Linked DNA regions of Saccharomyces cerevisiae S288C. The gene in region 1 interacts genetically with each later gene. Each region holds a gene or a part of one and is shown in the gene's direction. Other genes may lie near its edges. The genes, in order: YNL234W, KTR1 and EUC1.

Region 1 (5,571 bases):
TTGACCATCGCTGCGAAGACGCACATACTCAGAATTTCATTCTTGGATAGAAAAAGGGCCAAAGAATTTATTACGACTTTGTTGAAAAGCCTATACTCGTTTTTCAACATTTCTCCTGATGCGCCTAAAGAGATTATGGATAAAATAATAACAAGTAGGCCACTTCAAAAAATTATGCTATTGCAGCTGGAACTTGGCAGTTGTTTTTCGCAAGAAAATATTGAAGAAATGGCGAGAGTTATACTCTACTTGAAAAATGTTTTGTTTGCGTTCAATGGTGTGGCGAGAAATTTTCATTTTGCGATTGAACAAATAAGTAATAATTCTAACCAACAACAAAACCCGAAGTTGTTCCAGACTATATTTTCAAAACAGGATCTCATTCATTCATTGATTCCTGTTGCTAAATGGTTTGTCAAATTTATCACTTATTTGACCCAAGAAATTTTAATTTTAATAAATGATCCCACAAACAAGGAATACACACTAGTTCACGGAATATTTGGAGCCAAAATGTCCAGGACTTTGATATTGTCTATTCTTAACGAAATCAAGAAAGTCACCCAAATAGTGGCGAAATTTCCAGAAACATCATACCCAATTTTAAACGAGTCATCAACTTTTTTGAAACTAGTCTTATCTGAATCACCAGTGGATTTCGAAAAATTTGAAACGTTTTTAGTTGATGTAAACAACAAATTTATCGCGCTATGCGAACAACAGCCATCACAGGAACGTGAGTTTTCGTTGTTGGTGAAAGCTGAAATCCCCCCAGAATATGCCAAAGTGGGAGATTTCCTCCTGCAGTATGCTAATAATGCAGTGATTTCCCATGCGAATGCGGCTGCAGTATATTTTGCAGATACAAGTGGCTTGAAAATATCTAATTCAGAGTTTTTCAATCCCGAAATATTTCATTTATTGCAACCATTAGAAGAGGGATTAATTATTGATACAGATAAACTACCCATAAAAAATAGAACCTCCAAATCTTTTAGCAAATTACTGTACGACGATGTAACCTGTGACAAACTGAGTGTATCAGAAATATCCGATGGGAAACTTAAGAGATGCAGTAGGTGCGGTTCCGTCACAAGAGCAGGAAATATAATATCGAGTGATAAGACAATTGTACCCACTAGCATCCAAACCAAAAGATGGCCAACCATGTATACAAGACTGTGCATATGTTCAGGTATGCTTTTTGAGATGGACGGCTGATTATTAGTACTATAGCATAGTTTTGTATAGAATTGTTTTAAACATTTCACTTCTCGACTTAATAAAAAGAAATGAGAGTGACAGTGTCTGGAATTTCTTTCTTCTAGAATACCAAGGGTACGCATTTCTCTCCTACGGAATTTTCTGTGCAGATGTCCCGATCTACGTGGCAGATAGTGAAAACTCCGTAGGCAAAAGGGGCATCGGAAAAACCTCTTCAAAAAAAAAGGTTTTTAGGCTCGAACGAGCCGGAGCAATAATGTTCCTTTGAAAAATAGCAATCGTTATGCAACCATTTTATATGAGTCTGCCCCTCAAGGGACTCGCCACCGGACCGCTGCAGTTGTTTGCATTCATCCACATATAAGCTGGTTGTGTATGACAGGAGAAAAAATACTTCATTCGCAGTTGTTAACCAACAGCGACATGTCTAGCGGGAATGTCCACCATACGAAACCGATGATGTACAACGTAACCCTGCCTTCCTACAACAGCAGTAGTATAGGTCCAGTCGATAATTTGAAAATAAACGAGAGACCTGGCTCTCATGATCATTCCATGAGAAGTGAAATGTCATCCAAAAACTCCGGAAGCGATTTTATGCCACAATCTATTTCACGTTCCGAAGGTAGTGTCTACCAGGTCAAGATAGATCGTGGTGACTCCCCGAATACAGAAGGATTCGACTTTAAAGTTAATGCAAGAGATCTGCTGTTACTTCGAATGTCCTGGGATATCCTCCTCAGGGAGTATTTAACACCTAAAGAATTAAAAGTTTTTCAAGCACTTCTGTATTCCAATAAACATATTACTTCAACAGAAAGACCCTATTTGAATACTGCTCCTGACGGTATGATTTCCAAAACTATTGACCCTACTGCCAGGCCACGTAAAACAAAACAAAGGGACAATGATAACAAGGTTGATACTGCACTATTTTGTTCACAGTTTTATGACAATTTGATTGCAATGGATCCCTTGTTAGAAGAATATTTTCCATCATTAAAACATCAAGCAGTTTCGTTCTGTAAGGTCCTTGATTCTGCTATTGACAACCTTGAAAACGTTCATGTCCTAGATGATTATATTGTGAAATTAGGAAAACGCCATTCCAGAATTCTCGGCATCAAAACCGTTGGTTTCGAAGTAATGGGAAAAGCATTTATGACTACATTGCAGGACAGGTTTGGATCTTTTCTCACACTGGAACTCAAAAATCTATGGGGACAACTTTACTCATATTTGGCAAATTGTATGATTACTGCAGGGAAGGACCCAATGGAAAAGATTCAACCAGATTTTTCGTATAATGGTGACTCTGTGGTTTTAAATTTTTCCATTCCCAAACTTGCGATGCATGATATAAGTACAGTTAACAAGCTACAAATGGTGAAAACTAAAAACGCTACTATACCTCATAATATAACACAAGTACCGACAAATAAAATTCCTACAGAAATACTCTTAGACAATTCTTCTACTCCAATAAAAAGCGACCGTGAATCGACGCCTCCAATCTCACCAAAGGGCTCTGGAAGTACAAAACCAAGCATCGGTAGCAGTACCGTCGTGGAAAGTAATACCAAGAAAAATAATTATGATGAAAAAATCCATTTATTGCAAAAAACTGCTCAGCAGAAGAACTGCTCGATTATGTAACTACAACCGTACCATTAAGTGTATAAGTTTCCCAGGTTATATTATATATTCTTTAGATCACTGCCTGTTCTTTATTACCCGCGAGCTAATCTTTGTCTTATATAGGCGCGTCAGCGGAGACGCGTCAAGTCAACTTCTCTCTTCTATCGTCCCGAGTATGAAAAATCATTTCAGATTCGAAGAAATCAGATTGGCTTTATATCTTCTTTAGAACAAGACGTGTAATATTCTCACACTTAGAGTTGACCCCCTCAAGTTCGCTTATTAGTACAGGTTTTGACTTTGCAAATAAACAACAGGAAAAGCGACTCAAATAAATTGACAAAGAAATCTCAACAACCAGAGTGCAAAAGCCGTACGAGCAGCGTTTTTATTAATAACGATATATCACTACGTATTCAACAGAATATGTCGGATAGTATTTCAGATTCAAAGTCCTCAGAACTTTTAAATTCTACTTTTTATTCGTCGACGTCGATAAATACACTTGATCATGCTAGAACCTTTCGAAATTCTCTGATATTGAAGGAGATATCAGATCAAAGTCTAAATTCATCAATAAAGCCATGCGAATCCGTCCTTGATAGGGATGTTGAAAGCTCAGTTCTGCAGCGGTCGTTTGGAGAAAGTAATGCCCGAGACTCAGAAGTACAAACGGTAAATATGACAACTTCCCCCTCATTAAGTGCATTGGCTGATATTCTGAACGAAAGATCCAAATATGCTGACCAAAAAACTAGAAAGGCACAAAATATTGAGTCTTCCATAATAGAAGAAGAAGAAGAGGCCGAAGAGCAAAACAACTCGATCAATTATCACGAGGATATAACTGGATCCAGGCTGTCTGTACGAGAGGAAGCAAATGAAAACTTGGCGATGACCTCTCCAAACCTTATTGACATTGACGGATCCAATAGTATTCAAGTTGCCCCTTTGAGTTTACCGTCTTTCGAAGAACCTGACTTTTTGTCCACTCCTAGAGTAAAACCTGATTCTCAGGGACCTCGGAGCAAAGTTAGTACACGACGTACTATTCTCGAACGAGACAACAATTTACCAGTTAAGCGGGAGGAAAATACTATCATTAATTCAGAAACTGAAAGCACAACACATAGCGCACCATTTTTAAAAGAGGATCCGAAACCCTCGCCTCCTTCGAGTAAATTATACAACCCAAAAGTTCGTTTAAACAAAGCAGAAGCGCGAAAGTATACTGATTCTTCTGCCCAAAGGACTACTTCAGCAGGCTCGGTACTTGAAGACACTTCTATGCATAAAAAGAAAAAGAGTATATTTTCATTTCTGAAGAAGAAAGAACCGAAACCAGTTATTGGTAATAATAGTGTAACGAATGAAAAAAATAAGATGTCTTCATCGAGCACTTTCTCAATGAATATTCAAACCTCTTTAAAAACGCCTGAAAAACTAAAGAAGAAGTCTCACAGTAGCAGTAGCATTTTCAATTCCTTCCTAAAGGGAAAAATTGAAACATCAGACTCACCTCGAAAGGAACCAATGAGGCAAAAAAAAAGAACCCCAAAATCCAAGGACAAAAAGCAAGATACTGAACAAATAATTGACGCCGCATCAGTGTTATCCACTGAATCACCTCTACTACGAAAAAACCACGACGATACTCCCGTGAAAATAGATCACGTAACGAGATCAATTGATCAGAGAAAACCTACTCCTTTAAACATGGATCTCATATTGGGAGGTGATAAACAGATAAATACCCCGCTACAAGAACACGTAAGAGAAGATGATGATGCCAAAAATGATCTTCAATTACCAACCAAGGATAATTTTTTATCACTGGACTACGAAGCACCCTCACCAGCATTTTCCAAACACGATACAGGTGAGGTTCTTTTCCCAAAATTTTTGGATAATCATGAAGTCGACTCGATCGTTTCTTTAGAAAGAACAAGATCTACAAAGTCTAACAAGAGAAGTTCAATGAACTCGCAAAGAAGGTCATTGACAGATACGCTATCGATCAAAGCGCAAAGTGAGGGAATGTTCATCACTGAGGCATCTTCTGTTGTATTATCTACTCCAGACTTGACGAAGTCTCCTGCTAGCAGCATTTTAAAGAATGGAAGGTTCGAATACTCAGATAATTTCTCCAGAGAACACTCTTACGAAGGTACCACGAATGAGGACTTTTTAGATATCAAGGACGATAGTGGTCCACTAAAAAAAGATGACATATTTTTAGAGTCTATTGAACAAAAATTTGACCAGCTAGTGATGGCCTCTGATGAAGAAAAAACTGAAGTTGAAAGGGATGTACCAAAACCAAGAGAAGAACCTCTGAAGAAGGATTCTGAAAGGCAAAGCGTTTTTGCAGATGATGATAACGAGTTAATTTCTGATATAATGGAGTTTGCAAGTTTTATTAACTTCGGTGATGATGATCTCAATCTAGACCTAGACTTGGGAGATACAACGGCCTCATATGCAACAGAAACCCCTGAACCTGTTGGAAATGATGAAGTAAATCGCTCTGGTACTTTTGATACACGAAATAACAAAGAGGATAGTTACAAAGAAAGAGAAACTCAATCTTATTCCGCTGCTGGAGCTACTACATACGGAGATGAGCGTCAAGGTCAATTACATACATTTGAACAAGACGGAAGTGAAATAAATGACAACGAATTTGAGAATGAAGATTTCAACAAACAC
Region 2 (5,356 bases), on another chromosome or scaffold:
CACCAAAATTGAATAAAGTTGTGGAAGGGACAGTATTGTCGACAGCCTTAGTTTTATTAGCCTTTTGGCTAAAATTGAATGATAAGGTAGGCGCCTCGGCAGTTTTCGTTGACTTATCGGTTTTTCCCATTTCTACACTCGATTTAAAGACTGCACCTGCAGAAGAAGTTGCCTTAGGAGAAGTTTTCTTAGATGGAGTCTCATTGTCCTTGATAAAGTCAAAACCTACGGTGGGCAAAACAATACTTTCTTTGTCCTTTTTGGGCTCAATATTTTTCTTTAACGTAGGCGTACCAGAGCGCTCTGAATTGGGAACAAAGCTCTCCTGAATAGGGGCAGTTTTTGCAACTGTGGAAGCTGGTCCTTTTAAAAGTAGATTTTTTTGAGGATTCGATAACCTATTAGAGTTGATGTCTGCACGTAGGTCTTCAATTTCGCTTGTCAGGTTAGGGCCTGTAGCCAGATTGCCATTTGAAATACTACTCTTAATATTATTTCTATTCTCGCTTGTCTTCTGATCACCGCCAGCGTTACCTTCCTTATCCTTGTTATCCTTTTTTTGTATAGCGTCATATTCTGACAAATCATATTCAAAATTTGCTGACCACACGGTCCCCTTTGACTGACTATGAAACCTTTTTCTATTGGATCTATTTTTCAATGATTTGAGAATGGGTAGTCCAACATTGGTGTCTTCACCGCTTTTTCCGGCCAACTGCCTAGTGCAAGAACCGTTTTTAATAGGGGAAGGAGTAGATGATGTGCATAGGTACGATCCTCCCTCATCGCTTTTACTTTGAGAGCCCAATATAACCGACGATGTAATAGATGGAAATTCAGTTGATTGAATTAATCCAAGCTCACGCATATTTCTCACCCTCTGCTTCTCCCTTAATAACCTCAGTCTTTGAATGGGCAAAATTGGCAAAAGCGGCGGTCTCTCAGTGTTTTCGGTTCCATATATTATAATTGGCGCATTATTGTTGTTCTGAGTTAAGCTGTCGCTATGCTGTGATGTACCGGACACCCTCTTTCTCTTATTAACATGCAGTGTGTCTTCAACATCTGATTCCTCCAAATGATTCGCGTATGAGAGGTTTGAACTGAAAACTTTCTTGCTCGATGGCCGTTTTTTATTGGGGTTTGTGAAGAATGATTTTAAAGTGGAAGAAAACGATCTCTTTTCGACACGTGGAGAAGACATCACAGAAGAAGTGTTTGAAGACATGAATGACTAAAAATTGTCGCTCACTCTCTGTCCCTATAACCCTTTCGAGGCTAATATCCTATCGTATTTGCACCGCTACGTAGTGTCCTTATTGAGTTCCTCATCACTTATTTTCTTTAAGTGTTTCTTGACATTACGAAATTTCGTCAAAGAAAAAAATTAAAATGAAAAAGCATTTCAATGTCACATAATACGAACCATTGATCACGTGCAACGACAAACCCTAAATATAAAAACTAGGGCGTAAAAACCGGGGCTTGAAAATTAGGGCATAAAATAGGCTTTGCATACACGTGACTTATATTTGGTGTCGGCGTTTTCTTTACGCGGTGTAGTGTAAATCTCTTGTCGTACAAGTGGATATACGCACTGTATACCTCCAGTAACACCAAAAAAAAAACCGTGGTTGTCCCATGTAAACGAGTACCGCACACGTAGGCCAAAGCACTCCAGAGAGACTTCGTGTCAAAGGTCTATAATAGGTGGTGCCTTCTTGCTTCTTTTTTGCAGATTCTTAGTATAATACGCTAGACTATTGTACTTTCTAATTTTAAGAGATATCTTTTTCCTCACAAAGATTTCGTTAAGCAATCGAAGTAAAGTACTCCATCAGAAGAGTTTTTAAGGGATAGAGTCAATAACCAAAATGGCGAAGATTATGATCCCAGCTAGCAAGCAGCCTGTTTACAAAAAATTAGGACTTCTTCTGGTCGCCGTGTTTACTGTGTATGTGTTCTTTCATGGAGCTCAGTATGCGAGAGGCTCTGCCCCAAGCCCAAAGTACAGTACCGTGCTATCTTCCGGCTCGGGCTATAAATACTCGAAAGTGGAACTACCAAAGTATACCGGTCCTCGGGAAAAGGCCACTTTTGTCACTCTAGTGCGTAATAGAGATCTATATTCGTTGGCTGAGTCTATTAAATCCGTGGAAGATAGATTTAACTCCAAGTTCAACTATGATTGGGTGTTTTTGAATGATGAAGAGTTCACTGATGAATTCAAAAACGTTACGTCAGCTTTAGTTAGTGGTACAACAAAATACGGTGTCATCCCAAAGGAACATTGGTCCTTCCCTGAGTGGATTGATGAAGAAAAGGCCGCTCAAGTCAGGAAGGAGATGGGTGAGAAGAGAATCATCTACGGTGATTCTATCTCTTACAGACACATGTGTCGTTTTGAATCAGGCTTCTTTTACAGACATCCTTTGATGGATGACTACGATTGGTATTGGCGTGTGGAACCTGATATCAAGTTGCACTGTGATATCGACTACGATGTCTTCAAATTCATGAAAGACAATAAGAAAAAGTATGCCTTTGCCATTTCCATTAAGGAGTATGAAGCTACTATCCCCACTTTATGGGAGACTACTCGTAAATTCATGGAAGCCCATCCTGAGCTTATCCATGAAAATAATATGTTAGACTTTGTTAGCGACGATCAGGGACTTTCATACAATTTGTGCCATTTTTGGTCTAATTTTGAAATTGCTGCTTTGGATTTGTGGAGATCTCCAGCATACTCCGCATATTTTGATTATTTAGATCGTGAAGGTGGATTCTTTTATGAAAGATGGGGTGATGCTCCAGTTCATTCTATTGGTGCTGCGCTGTTCTTGGACCGCTCTGAAATCCATCACTTCGGTGATATTGGTTATTACCATGTTCCATTTCACTCCTGTCCAATAGACACAAGTATCAGACTGGCTAACAAATGTGACTGTGATCCAAGCAAAGATTTCACATGGCACAGTTATTCATGTACTACTAAATTCTACAATATAAACAAGTTGCCAAAGCCTGCTGGTTGGCAAAACCATATCGGTTGATTATACTGTAATCAGCCCACGTTGTCTTTGTATTTTCCACTTTTTTTATTTATACTATTTAAAGAAACAGAATAAATTATAACTCTTTTTTTTACATATCACATTTATATTTACTCCATTGCGTTACAAATATGAACGCTTCGACAACAACGCCAAGGAAACCGGGATAACCCAACTGATATTTTCTACCATACACTGAACGAAATTGCAGAACCAAAAAATAACAAAAAGTTCCCAAAAGGAATGCCAGAAAAAAATGGGAGGCAGGTCCACCTAACAAAAATTTAATCATATGCCATACTTCTTGAACAGTGAATGAGTCATCTCCACACCTAAAAATGTGGCCGCATTGGCTGGGAAAGATCTTAGTAAAGCAGGACCTAAACCAGGGAAAAATCCCTTGATACCACCTCTTTGTAGATAAATTTCCTTTGTGGCGGAAAGCATATTCTGCCTCGTGGAGGAAGCCTGCAATTTTGTCTTTATAGTGTCTATGGGGAAAACAGCTAGCCACATCGACATACCAGCAATACCACCAGCAAGACACACGTTCAAGATATTGACCGGTTCATCTTTGCCCGCATCTTGACGAGGTTGCCTACTATTCAAGTAATTTTTTGAAATTTCATAAGATGCAAAATATAGAGCTGAGCCAGGCCCATCTCTTGCTAAAGTGGCTAATGAACCTTTAAATAAAGAAGCTATGCCACCTTCTTTAACAATGGTTTTAGCCGCCTGAATGAAAGAGCCCTTAGAAGATGTTTGCAGGACAACCTTTACTCTTTCCGTTGGCGCAGTCACTAAAGTGGTAGGAATAGCGCTGATAAATCCTGCTGCAGCCATTTGTCCCATAGTTAACTCGTTACTGCCTCCTTGCTTGTTATTAAAAGTAACCAGTTTCTTACCCACATCGTAACCCCAGAAAGAAACAGCGAATATGGGAGTAACACCTAATAAGGGCGGGATAACACCTTTATAGAACCCCTTTACGGAATTGGTAAATAATGTGCCCTTTACTTGAGTTTTTGCTTCTTTTATAATATTTGTAATGGCATGTACCGTGGAATTCGCTTGTCCATTTTGACATCTCACTTTAATCAAATCGAAGGGATGACCCGTAAACACCGCACATACCCCGCCAACTCCACCGGCCACAAATGATTTGATATTTTCGCGTACAGGGTTTGATTTTATAGGTGGACGAGACTTGGTCAAGCTCCCACTCTCTTCTTTCAATAATGAAGATTCTGATAATGAAGTGTCTGAAGACATTACTGACACGATGACGTTTGTGGAGGATAAGAAAGTCGTACAATACGTAGAATCCAAGGAAAACCTGGAATAAAAACACACATAGAGCGCAATTGAATATCGGCTATTTCTACAGTACAAGCGTCTGCCTATATATGCGCTTGAAATATATCTATTTCGACTAAAGGAATTATACCATCATGCATCTTTACTCTTAAATCTCCATTTGTCCACCGACTTATTGCGGCAAGTGGAGATCCAGTCACGCCGGATGACTGGGTGTAGATAAATAGCCGCCCAACTGATCCCTGCATAAAGCTTATATGCGGATATTAGGAGCAGTAACCCGATGACATTAAGCGTGTAGCCACAAGGAACTTCACCATTACTCATAGCAGAAAAAGCAGTGACCAAAAAATGGCAGGAATGACTCTTTTCTGTTTCCCCTCATATACACTGAAACATCTCGATATAAAGCATGCCCTTTATTGTACCATCAATGCAATGTAACGGCAAACGAGGCTAGGAATATGTATTACCCGCACTGAATTGCTTCTTCACTTAGCACACCCTTGATCGCTATGTTCTACGCTGCTACCCGTTCGGTAGGGAGTGGCGGGGAAATTCACATTGGCACAATGTAAACCCGTAGGAAAAAAAAAAAGCACGAAGAAAAAAAAAGAAACCAAAAATATTTACTACATGTAAGTCTATGGACATTTGACAACAAACTTTTTCAACTCATCGCAAGATTATGAATTTTTCACGGCTTTTCAGGTTTTTTCCTCCTTTTGTTTTACATTGAAAGGTTTATATTTTATGTCTTTGTATGGTTCTCTTAATTTGGATTCTTTCTTGTACGGTGTCTCTATTATCATCTGTCTTGTTCTTTCTTGCAATGCTTAATTAACTGCTGCCACAATTGACTTCGGTTTGGCTATTTCACGATTGAACAGGTAAACAAAATTTTCCCTTTTTAGAACGACATGCAGGGAAATAAATCAACTATAAGAGAGTATAAGATAGTAGTTGTCGGTGGAGGTGGCGTT
Region 3 (4,457 bases), on another chromosome or scaffold:
ATACCACAACATGCCTTATTTGCGCCTGGAATAACATTGGTCGCATCAAGTCTTCCGCCAAGGCCTACTTCTATGACACACCATTGGCACTGCACATCATAAAAATATTTGAATGCGGTACATGTTAATAGCTCGAATTCCGTACATTTTAAAGAGTGTGACTTGTTTAAAGCTTCTAGTTGTAATCTAATATTCTGGTATCTCTCTAACGGAATCGGCTTATTGTTGATTGTAATGGAATCAGTAACATGCACCAAGTGTGGAGTGGTAAATTTTCCAATTTGGTAGGACTTTTGTTGCAACACAGAAGATAGGTAAGTACATACTGAACCTTTACCATTTGTCCCTGCAATGTGCAGCACTCTAAGTGAGTTTTGCGGATTGCCTAAATGCTCTAGTAGTTTTGTAATACGGGAAAGTCCCAATTCAATGGCCATTGATATAGCAAAATACAATAAATACACTAGATCAACTTACTAACAGGTGACCTTATCGGTCTATTCAAAACATTTACATTATAAACAATCCTGAGTTTTTCTGCTCAATTTTTAAATAACAATTATTCATAGAGGAAAACACCCGAACTAACCAATGTTGTAGAAGGGCCTATAAATAATATATATAACACAAGAAATATGGTAACCAGGACGTAGCCACCGTATGAGAAGCTTTGAAACATCCAGTGATAAAAAAATCTTGACTTTATTTATATATATGTATATTGGACATTTTAAAAACTTGATTTAAGTCGCTCATTGCGGCGGCTTTTATATTTTGAAAGTAATCGAATGAGTACGAAAATCTGACTTGGACAGTATGCAGGCCCTCATCTTAGCGGTTTTTTGACCCAGTCGTTAGATCTGCTAATTCGATTCAAATCTTCTCATCAAGCCAGAGGCGCGCTTATTAGAAGGACGCTATCAAATCCAAATGAACAACGATGCAGGTTCTCAATACGAAGAGTGAAACGAAACAAGAAAACGAAACAATGCAGCCACCATATATACAAGAACGTCTTAAGTCATTAAATGATATAGAGACCCAGTTATGCTCCATGTTGCAGGAGGCGTCTCAAGTCACGTTCATATTTGGTGAACTAAAAAGAGGTAATGAATCAGTGAAACCCCAATTCGAAAATCATGTCAAACAGTTTTACGAACGACTAGATAAATCAACCACACAGCTACGCAAGGAGATACAGTTGTTGGATGAGAACGTTGGAACACGACTACTGCCCATCAATGTCAACAAGAAGGCCCTAGGCCAAGACACAGAAAAAATGGAAGAACAATTGGATTTATTGTCGGCTATATTAGATCCTTCGAAATCCAAGTAAACCTTAATTAGGACTAGAACACTTTTGTATCAAGTACAAATGTATAATTATATAAACATCACAGGGATATCATATTCCATATGATGATATAGCATTTACTTTACTTCAACCAGTATTGTCTAAAGAGAACGAGTTTAGTATTAGTAAAAAAATTAAAAAAAGGAAGCGTACTTGAAACTCAAACACAAACGAGAGTACAAAGGGCATTGCTAGCTTAAAATATTTAACAATCAACTTCGTCTTTTGCCAGAAGACTACATTTTGTGCCATCGAGAAGTTAGTCCAGGAGTCAACACATTAATTAAACATGCCCGCTCGAGAATATAACTATGTAGAAGGTTTTGGTGGGTACGGCTCGTTGGACGATGATGATTCAGATAGAGATTCTGAACGCAGGAATCACGATCTAGGGCAGCGAACTATAACCACAAGTCCAACAGGAGTATCAAGACATGCTGCATTAAATAGGTACATGATCCCAGGCCGTATCAATCCTCTTTTCAGACCGACAGACGCTGCTCAACCTCCCATAGTGTCTACATCCACATCAGCATCGGCAACAGAACCGACCAACAGAATAGGCCCTGGAAGGATAAAAGAAACCCCTGAAACAAATTTCAATGCATTTCTTATAGCACAACTAACCAGAATGGAGGAGCAAAATGCCAATCTGAAGGAAGAAATCAGCCTAATGAAAAAGGAACAAGAACTCTTCTTTCTAGAGAATCAAAAGAAGTTGGAGAAAGGATTTAAAGACATCAATAAGTATGTTGAAGATGTTTCCGCAATGAAAGAAGTCTTCAAAGAGGTAGTTGGTATTATGACTGGGGAGAGAATAAGATTTATAGACCATACTGGGGAAAATGTTACTCCTCAGGAAGCTGCTCGTGTTGGAAATCCATCAACAAGTACGCAAGCTCATCAAAGTCAGTCAAGATCAACAAACTGGCAAGAATATAGTATGCACGCAAGCATATTAGCCGGCGATCCTCGTATCAAGCCTGAGCCAGGGCTGTCAGACTTTGAAAATGGGGAATACGATGGTAATGAAAGTGATGAGAACGCTACCACCAGGAACCTACCTTTAAATAACCCCGATTCTGTTAGCAATGCTGATGACAGTAATAACCAACTCGATGGAACAGGAAACGAGAATGATATCAGAAACAGAAGAGGGTGCGTTGGAACGTCATATAAACTAAATCGTGCAATCCAGAACGTTACAGATGCGGCCCGTGAATACTTTGAAGGCTTACCGGGCCAACCGTCAGTTCTTTCCCTTGAGAGGAGATATGGGTCCACTTGGAGGCGATCTGCCAAAGAAAGGACTTTGTTCACTAAAAGAATGACCATCATAAAAAGAATAATAGATATAAAAGATGATCCAAGCAAATATGGTTTGTCGCTACCTGAGAATAAAATAAGTAGAAACCAAGCCATCAAGGTTGTCGAAAATATAAGATTGGGAAACAATACCTTCAAAGGACATCATTGCCGATTATCAATGTCCCAGTTATACGAATACTTCTCCAAAAAAATGGACAAACTCGAAGACTATTCACTTACTCTAAAGAGAAGAGGGAAGCCAAGAAGAATTTTCTTGTTAGAAGAGAGAGAAGCTAGATTATCATTACAGCAGCCACATAGTATACCAAATTCCAGTACAGGCACACCAGAACATGATCAAGACACTTAGAGGAAATGGAACAACGAATTTCCAGCCAAAAATTCCGAGTAGTTCATGATGAAAGATTTTTACATGCATTTTATATATAAATATATACCGTCCTATATGGATTTCATGCCAACAGGGTATATAATAGACAATTACCGGTGTACTGATATATCAACTATCGACTCCAAGCCTTTTATCTATCAGTCAATTTTACATCAAGATCCCACTTTTAGATAGGTTCGAAAATTCAATCTAATATTAGTGATTTAATTAGATGGTGGATTGCTTACCCTTTTTTTTGTCGTTTTAGGAGGAGATTCTTCGGATTTTAGGGATAAACGGATACTCCATATATAAAAAACAAAACTTCAGGCATATTGATTATCTAAAAGGAATATTCTAAAACCATAGCCATAGTAATTTATCACCAACATGTCAAACGACGGCTCAAAAATATTGAATTATACCCCAGTGTCTAAAATAGATGAAATAGTTGAAATCTCAAGAAATTTCTTCTTTGAGAAACAATTGAAATTGTCCCACGAAAATAACCCAAGGAAAAAAGATCTAGAATTCAGGCAGTTGCAGTTGAAAAAACTCTATTATGCCGTCAAAGATCATGAGGAAGAACTGATCGATGCTATGTACAAGGACTTTCATCGGAACAAAATTGAATCGGTTCTGAATGAAACGACCAAACTTATGAACGATATACTTCACCTAATTGAGATTTTACCAAAATTGATCAAACCTCGGAGAGTATCTGATTCTTCTCCTCCATTTATGTTTGGTAAAACAATCGTGGAGAAAATATCAAGGGGCAGTGTCTTGATTATTGCTCCTTTCAATTTTCCCCTACTTTTAGCATTTGCCCCATTGGCAGCAGCTCTTGCTGCAGGTAACACCATTGTTCTGAAGCCAAGTGAACTAACACCACACACTGCTGTAGTTATGGAAAATTTGTTAACCACAGCTGGTTTCCCTGATGGATTGATTCAAGTAGTTCAGGGAGCTATAGATGAAACTACAAGACTACTAGATTGTGGAAAATTTGACCTAATATTCTACACAGGTTCTCCCCGTGTCGGATCAATAGTTGCTGAGAAAGCAGCAAAAAGTCTAACACCTTGTGTACTTGAACTTGGTGGTAAATCACCTACCTTTATTACAGAAAATTTCAAAGCAAGTAACATAAAAATTGCTTTGAAAAGGATTTTTTTTGGTGCTTTCGGAAATTCTGGCCAGATTTGTGTTTCACCAGATTATTTGTTAGTACATAAATCTATCTATCCAAAAGTCATTAAAGAGTGTGAATCAGTACTAAATGAATTTTATCCAAGCTTTGATGAACAAACAGATTTCACTCGTATGATTCATGAGCCTGCTTACAAAAAGGCCGTTGCAAGTATAAACTCAACTAACGGCTCCAAGATTGTGCCTTCAAAA

The links.
Region 2: mutations in YNL234W (region 1) and KTR1 together harm fitness more than expected from each alone (negative genetic interaction), as found in Saccharomyces cerevisiae (one large-scale study listed by BioGRID).
Region 3: mutations in YNL234W (region 1) and EUC1 together harm fitness more than expected from each alone (negative genetic interaction), as found in Saccharomyces cerevisiae (one large-scale study listed by BioGRID).

Annotation. Positions count from the first base shown.
Region 1 is NC_001146.8:208,634-214,204, forward strand, and holds YNL234W (uncharacterized protein), read left to right. Parts: upstream 1-1,599; coding exon 1,600-2,880; downstream 2,881-5,571. Other genes in the region: SIN4 (Sin4p), read left to right, coding at 1-1,221; BNI4 (Bni4p), read left to right, coding at 3,289-5,571.
Region 2 is NC_001147.6:509,951-515,306, forward strand, and holds KTR1 (alpha-1,2-mannosyltransferase KTR1), read left to right. Parts: upstream 1-1,874; coding exon 1,875-3,056; downstream 3,057-5,356. Other genes in the region: FG-nucleoporin NUP1, read right to left, coding at 1-1,228; CRC1 (carnitine:acyl carnitine antiporter), read right to left, coding at 3,345-4,328; Ras family GTPase RAS1, read left to right, coding at 5,294-5,356. UniProt on the Saccharomyces cerevisiae protein: Mannosyltransferase that transfers a mannose residue from GDP-mannose to a range of acceptors in vitro, forming an alpha-(1->2)-D-mannosyl-D-mannose linkage.
Region 3 is NC_001145.3:490,979-495,435, reverse strand, and holds EUC1 (Euc1p), read left to right. Parts: upstream 1-1,643; coding exon 1,644-3,032; downstream 3,033-4,457. Other genes in the region: FOL3 (dihydrofolate synthase), read right to left, coding at 1-437; MED11 (Med11p), read left to right, coding at 941-1,336; HFD1 (hexadecenal dehydrogenase), read left to right, coding at 3,444-4,457. UniProt on the Saccharomyces cerevisiae protein: Transcription factor-like protein that binds to specific DNA motifs called ub-HS-motif associated with several locations where proteins other than histone H2B are ubiquitinated (ub-hotspots).